Struthio camelus: one gene and its partner. The protein of the gene in region 2 purifies or fractionates together with the protein of the main gene of each other region. This does not show direct contact. Links are inferred from orthologs where the notes say so. Each region holds a gene or a part of one and is shown on either strand. Other genes may lie near its edges.

The links. The genes of interacting proteins can lie anywhere in the genome.
Region 1: the proteins of BACH1 (region 2) and MAFK purify together in Homo sapiens (affinity purification with mass spectrometry; 6 studies listed by BioGRID and IntAct, counting the BioPlex papers as one, with this or other methods). This does not show direct contact. The link is inferred for Struthio camelus from reciprocal best matches to the Homo sapiens genes BACH1 and MAFK.

What each region holds. Positions count from the first base shown.
Region 1 is NC_090956.1:6,858,129-6,861,874, forward strand, and holds the start of MAFK (transcription factor MafK), read right to left. Parts: upstream 2,816-3,746; 5' UTR 2,456-2,815; coding exon 2,368-2,455; exon of another isoform or gene 2,358-2,367; coding exon of another isoform or gene 2,342-2,357; intron 1,561-2,341; exon of another isoform or gene 1,323-1,560; intron 357-1,322; coding exon 277-356; intron 1-276. UniProt on the Homo sapiens protein: Since they lack a putative transactivation domain, the small Mafs behave as transcriptional repressors when they dimerize among themselves.
Region 2 is NC_090942.1:118,936,376-118,940,121, reverse strand, and holds the start of BACH1 (transcription regulator protein BACH1), read right to left. Parts: upstream 2,815-3,746; 5' UTR 2,577-2,814; intron 1,051-2,576; exon of another isoform or gene 998-1,050; intron 1-997. UniProt on the Homo sapiens protein: Transcriptional regulator that acts as a repressor or activator, depending on the context. Binds to NF-E2 DNA binding sites. Plays important roles in coordinating transcription activation and repression by MAFK.

The DNA of each region.
Region 1 (3,746 bases), on a different chromosome or scaffold from region 2:
GTCAAAAGTCTCTTGGGTAACAACTGGGATACTCTAGCCTTGATGCAATCCCATACTCGCCAGACTTCTTTCTAGATATCACCAGTATTTCTCTATCCTATCTTCTCAAGAACTTTCCTGTAGATAGTGAGAAATTATATTGGCACCCATTTGCAAGAGTCTCTCCAAAGGGGGGGGGGGGGGGGGGGGAACACATGTGACAGTCTTCACATGGAATATGGTTCCTTGACACCTTCCCCTGCCACCCAGCATCACCCACTCAGCCTTTCTCCCTACCTTTAATGCCTTGTTCGGTTTGGGATTAGTCGTCATAACCTGAGCACAGTCTTCTGGACAGAACTGCTCAGAAATTGCAACTGAAAAACAAAACAAGATTTTCAGGTTATCATAATCTCAGAGATAACAGTAGGAAAACGATACCAACACACACTCCAAATCCCCAACTCTAAAGCATCATTGAAAGAAACATCACACAACTGTTTAAAATCCTGGGAAGGATTCAGAGATTAGTTTACCCCCTTCAGAAAGAAGGGGAAACGTGCATTGACAAGTGCCCTGCTTTTTAATGCTAAATATCTAATATTTTGTTTTTAAGTACACCAAGATCAAGCAAGGAAGATGGGACTGGGAGGGCAAAAAGGGTACTTGCTCCTGCCTGTAAACAACAGTTATGCTAATAACTGCATACTACCTTGCAACATGCCACCTCTTCTGAGGGGGAGAGCAGAGTTCAGCCTCCCAGGCCCAATCAGTTGTTCATCTCCTTCTGGAGGAATCCCAGACACACAGAATGGTCTATTAGGGACTGAATTAAGACTTACCTCTGCTCATAAAGGGCATTGAAAAGCCACAAGACAACAACTCCCTTCATTCTTATTTTGATTATTATTAACCTAGCCTCAAATTGAATCAGCAGCCCAGAAATAAGCTGCCTAGTTTGTAACCTGCTTTCACAGCCATCCCCACCCAAAAGAGACGCTACTAGAAAACCCGAACAGCAGAAACGAAAGCCCCCAGATAACAAAGCAAGGCAGGTGTTTGCCTCTCCCAGCACACCAAGGCTGTTGCTTCATGATCCTCTCAGCCCACAGGCTGCTAGAGCTAGCCTGCCTGATATTTCTTGTGACGTGGAGGCATGTCCACCGACAGACAGACCGTCCTCTGTCGAGACGCTGCCCTTCACTCTCACCTTAGCTGGCAACTACACCCCTTCGACCAGCGCTTTGGAGAAAATCTACCTGCCTAGACCTCCATCCGAAATCTTCACCCCACCGAAGTGCCAAGGATGAGCCTGGCAGCGCTGCTGTCTGTCAGGTACCTACCACGAGAGAGACGACTGCAGCTGTGACTCCATCACAGCCTCTGCTTATCGCTCCCCCAGCATCTCGGCTACCCCTGCAGGGAGGGCGCGAGGCACTGGCTCCCACACCACGCCGGTGCCCCCTACGCACAGCCGTGGCGGCTTCAAGGGCTGCACACCCAGTGGCACTGCAGAGCGCACAGCCTGTCTGGCGGGAGTCCTCTCCCCCCACCCCACCCCACACCCTCCCCATTCCCACGTCTGCATCGTGTCACACATTCTAATCATTCATGAAAAATCCAGCCAAAGCATCCCAAGCATGATTCCCTTCTGATAGTTGCCATGGTGACCTTGGGAAAGTAGCCAACCCTGAGACAGTCACCATGGAAACAGAGAAGCCCAAAAGCAATAATGACTTCAGGTCATGTCTGTGCAAAGACATCACGAGGTCGTCAGAGAGTAAACAAACTCATTCATATCTGCAAACAAGGGGTGGAGGGACTTGGGGGGTGGGGGGGGGGGGGACAAAGGTGGGGTGTGGGAACAACAGAGAGCCATGCGGGTAAAGGTGCTGGCTCAGCTTGCGTTGCTCTCGCTTGAATTTTATCAGTCAAGACACCTCATTGTCATATGACTTGCAGAAAAATCAGGATAAAGAGGGGGAAAAAAAAAACAAATCCCATAAATGCGAAGCTACAAGATACTATCCTAGATATTAGGGTGTGTATTTAGGCACCTCCTCTATTTTTAAGCCTGAGACAGCACAGCTTTCCATGCCTGCTGGAGGAGGGACAAGGACAGCCGCACAGCACACCAGCCAAGATGCTTTGTGATGAATGGACCACTTACAGCAACTGGTGTGCGCTGCATTTTCTAGAGCATCACACAGAGTCCTTCCCATCCCTCCTCCAGTATCAAACCCCACCCTGGGCCCACTTCCAGGAGCCCTTGCCTCCACCACGGCAGCAGGAGCAGGCTTGGCAGAGGGAAGGAGAGCACCCAGCGCAAAACCCAGTCCCTCGCTGTTAGCACAGCCCCCACCTGCCCACGAAAGCATCCTCAGTTACCGAAGGGAGAGGCCACCTCTGACCTCTGGCTGCTGCAAAACTGCGTATCTCGCACTGGAGTCGATGGCAGACAGAAACGCTCTCCCATGAGAGCGCACGCAGACGGGCGCCTTTTCAGATCTCAGCGCTGCCCTTTCACCGTCCTCCTCTCCATTGCTTCCCCTTCACACTTGGTATTCACCGCCCGCCCCTACCTCCAAGCCAGAAGCACACACAAACGCACGCACTAGCACAAAGGAGGAAGGAAAAGCTCGTTGTCTTGGCCAAACGGTCCCAGCAAGCTAAGGAGAGCAGAGCGCTGCCAGTGCGTAAAGGAAACGGCCTGCAGCCCCCTCCCTACACACGCACAGCGCCGCGGGCCTTGCAGGCAGTTGGTGCCATAGTTATGCAGTGAGTCACCAGCTGTTTACAGAGTTTGAGAGCTCACATTCCCACAGCATCAGAAACTCTTCCTTCCCCCGGCATCCCCCCTCCCTCGCCACCCCCATCCCTACAAGGAAAGGGGCACACTACAGTCCCACTGGCGGCACTTCGCGCAGTTAAACCGGAAAAGGAAAGTCAAAAAGGAGGGGGAGGCCGAGGACAGACCGGTCACACCCACTGATTACACAAAAAGCCTTTTGATCCTCACCCAATGTGTCTTCAAAGCACTTTCTACACCAGCCGATGGAAAAACTGAACAGACCGCTTGGCTGCACAGAGATGGAAAGAAACGTAAAATATTGTGGAAAACAAGTGCCGAGGGTTGAGATTCCCTCCGGTGGGGGTCACTGTCTGGGCTCGCCTGCCACCCAAAGCAACGCCGCTGCCGCCGCGTTAATAAGCTGCTCCGACTCCACGTGATGAATCCACTTCTGGTCACCTGTTGCTCTGTGTCGCCAAAGCAACATCTCCTTACACTGCACATTCCTCCGCGGACAACACAGACTCCTTCACATTTGGTACGAGTGCACGGTTGGTACCCGAATTAACAGGGGTCTTGTGCTTTACGTATTGCTTTCCTTGCATATCGAAGCGCTCTAAACAGACTGGCTTCCCTCTAAAACGGGTTGGGATCAATCCTATTGCATTGGGGCGAGATGCCAGAGCCCTTCCTGGCACAGACACGAGGAAGGAATTTAAGCCACCACCAGTAATTACGATGTCTGGCCATCTTCACATGCGAGCGGGATGGGGGTCACCCCCACTCTTAGGGGCAGAATTTGGTAGTGCAAGCAGGAATGCTTCAAATGGGCTTAAGTTCCTCACTCAAACGTGAATGCCAGGGTGAGGCTTACCTCTGCACTAGGTGAACCTGCAGGCGTGGTCTGAGCTTAACGCAAAACTGATACACCACCACTTGCAAATCCTCGCTGACAATCCCGCGTGGCCTCGGTCAG
Region 2 (3,746 bases):
AACTTGTTAATCTCTGAGCTGAAGGGAAAGGGGGAGCTGCAGAGGGGTCCTAATGTATTATTGGTACTTAGGTCATACCAGGCTGAATTCACACAACTTAATAGCTGCTTCAGCAGCTATTTTTCCGCTTACTTGAGATTTCGCAGAAGTGGATAGACATCAACTAACATTAACTATAGCTTAACTTAGGGTTGCATATAACCCTAAGTTAACCCTTTACAGCACTCATGCTATAAAGATAAATACCACATAGGATATTTCAGTCCCTAAAACTTCGTCATGAACCTTTCAGCAGTAGAACTCTGACAACTAAAATGTCAGCACTCACATATACCTAAATCCTTTGACCAATCTACCATGCCTCCCTCTCACACCAACATGCCCAGTGCATTGAGAAAGACAGGTCTACGACTACCAGGAAACCTATGAGGAGTTTATCAGAGCGCTTCTCATTTTATAGAAACGAGAGGGGGGAGAATAAAGACTCTTGAGTTATATTTTCCTAAAGCTATAGGGCAAAGTTATCTGGGACTCACACACCTGATATATGAGGCAACCTCTATTCTACCCCCACAGACATTTTTAGTCTACGCCCAATGATAGTGCTACATCTAAATGAATGCAAAGGGTATAGTTTTTAATATGAGACAATTCTAATAGCAGAAAGTAATGACAGATTAATGTGCTGACTTTCACAGACATAATCAAATCCATATATTTTCTACTTTATTAAGATTACTACTGATCAAAATATGTTTAGTACAAGGATTTTAGAACCTATTAAGCAAATCAATATTTATTACTCCAAGATCTTGCACATTTTTGAGTATAAAATACACAATTTATACTCAAAATTACTTTATATATATATACACACATACAGACTCACTCTCAACATAAAATATTGACAGTAGATGCTATGTGAACTTCTGTATTAGAGTTTCAGTCAATCAGAAGAGCATTTCTAAAGCACGTTTCCCCCAAACATCCTACTTACTATAATTCTATTCACTTCACAGGATGGTCTTGGACTAGAACAAAACAGGTTCTCTGTGGATAAAAAGAAACTGGAAAACGTACTCCAGAAGTACATCTAAGGAAGTACAAATACTAAGTGATCCATTAGAGCTAACCTGAAGTAAAGCCTTCCAAAAGCACATACAACGCGGATAGTCTGTTTTCAGCAACAACAGTTTCTCTCTGTAAATCTACTATTTTTGGGGTCTTACTATGTGCTATTACACACACAGCTTCACTCACATATGTAAGGGAGTACAAGAGGAACTATGCTGATTGAATCACCTTTAAAGTTAAGCTCATAAGCCATAAAACAAAATTTGGATTATCTAAGCAGCTTTAATTTGGACTCACTATGCTTGGTTGGGTGATTCTCATTTGTTTTCTCTTCAGTATGGTGTAATATTCTGCGATAAAAGACTATATTACTAGAGCATTCATTGTGCTGTGTAACCTTAATTTACAGTGTTTCTTCCTGCTGTATTACAAATACTCCACTACTACAATCAAACATTTTCCATGCACCTATCTGATGTGCCTCAAATTAAGACCTCTTGCAAGAATTACTATAGGATCGTATACATATTATATGTATATAGTTATCTTTGATTGCTGCAATGTTTACCTTCCTTTTTTTTTTTTTAACTATATATTCAACACGTGTTTCTGAGGTCCCGGTTGTGCATGTATTTAGGATTACTGTGGTATTAACATACTAAAAATGGAGAATGTAAACAGAATGTGATGTAAATGCATCATCACCTGCTTTTCTAATTACTTCATTTTCAACATTTCCAAAGCATGCCAAGGATTTCACAGTACAGAACAAGACAGACAGGATTTATATCTCTTTGTTTATAGTCTAAAATAAATCTTTCCCAGCCTTCCAAACACATATGATGCGTGTTTCACCTAAGCAAAACACAGTCACCGCTGGGATTTCCAGCGCTGTAGAGTTGCCCCTTTCACACAAGGCTGGCGAGCGCAGACTGGGAGAGTCACGCCTGTGTTACCGGAGCGCACGGGCACTTGGGCACCCACTGAAACCCGCAGGAGACGCTGAATAACGACTAAAAGCTCGTGCCCAAAGCACAGAGGCATCTGGCGCAGCGCCAAGTCGGACTTCGGGGGGGGGGGGGGTGTAAAATACCCGAAGACATGACACTAGGGAGCGGGGAAGGGGGGAGGGGCAAGGCCGCCGCCCGGTGCCCGACGCAGGCAGGACGCCGCCGCCGCCGCTCGGCTCCCCCCCCGCCCTGCTCCGGCCTGACGTCCTCCCCACCGCGGGACCCAGCCTCCGACAGCGGCCGCCCGCCTGCCCCGCCGCGGGACCGGCCACTACTCCGACCGCCGGAGGAGGGTGGGGGGGGGGGGGGAAGAGGGACACATGAATAACACCGCCCCTGTAAACATGCCGCAGCCTCCTCCGCTTCCCCCCCCTCCTCCGTCGGAATGGTGCTTCCCTCGCGCCCCCCCCCCCTTCAGCCCAACGGCCGGTCCCAACGGACACCGAGCGGCCGCGCGCGCGCCTTCTCTCCCCCCCGCCCCGCGCCTCTCACCTCAGCACCTTCCGCCGCGCCGCCACCCCTCCGCGCGGACACCGTCACCCGCGGGCCGGCCGGTGGCCGGACGGCAGCCGCCTTCACCGCCTTCCTCCTCCTCCCGCTCCCCCTGACTCGGCTGTTCCTGCCACAGAGGCTGCGGCCCGACTGCGGCGAGAGCAGTCAGGTGACTCCCAACAACATTACTCGCCTTGCCGCCCCGTTCCTCCCCCCCACCCTTCCCCCCGCCTTCCCCTTCCACACCCCGCCCGCTGATTGGACGCGGCGCTCCCCACCGACGCGCAGCCGCCCACAGCGCCGCGCCCCGCGCCTGCGCGCTGCCACCGGCGGCTTGGCGGCGGCCCGCGCCCCGGGGCAGCGCCGGGCCCTGCCGCCGCCCCTTCCCTCCCCTCCCCCCCGCTCCCTCCTGAGGGCGGCCGTTAGCGGCCGTTGGGGGAGTCGGAGAGGGGGGGCGCTGGGCGCGGTGCCCCCACCGGCGGGCAGTGGCGGTCGCCTCGTGTGCCGCCTCTCACGGGGAGAGCCCGGGTGCTTGTGTTTCGCAGGTGGAAAACTCTTACTTGTTTTAGGCGTGCGGCTGGAGGTCTGTGTTGGGAAATGCTACCGCTTAGGAGTCTTGGTTGGCAATGCGATTTTTAACGTTTCTACGCTAGGGAATGTCAGTCAAGCGTTTGGCAGAGATAGCGGCCTGAGGGTGTTTTTGCTGGTATAATTTGTTTACTTGCTGAGCTTGGCTAAAACACTTTCTGATAGTGGGAGCTGTGCTGATACGAGGACGAGTTGCTGGAAGTGTCCCACTGAGAGACCTTTCCTAGTTTAGGCCTGATTTTTCAACCAGCTATCGTGGTCTGTGCTGTGCTATGTAGGAGGAGATAAGATGTCAAGTAAGGCAGAAAACATCGTGGAGCAAGTTGACGTGAAGAGATAGCCTTCAGTTAGCAACGGACAAACTAATGCTAGAAACGAAAACAGTGTGATATTACCGTTGAGCTAGTAGGCCTTTTGAAAAGCAGACTAGGATGCTGGGTGCTGTGTGAACATAGCTTCCTCCTGGAAAACATACTGTTTTCCAGTCTTGCCTAGTATTTTTGTGCGATGCCAGGTACATGTACCAATTCAGCGTAAGCTCTTTTAGGGATATCTTAGAAAGCAGTGTATATTACCCTGATC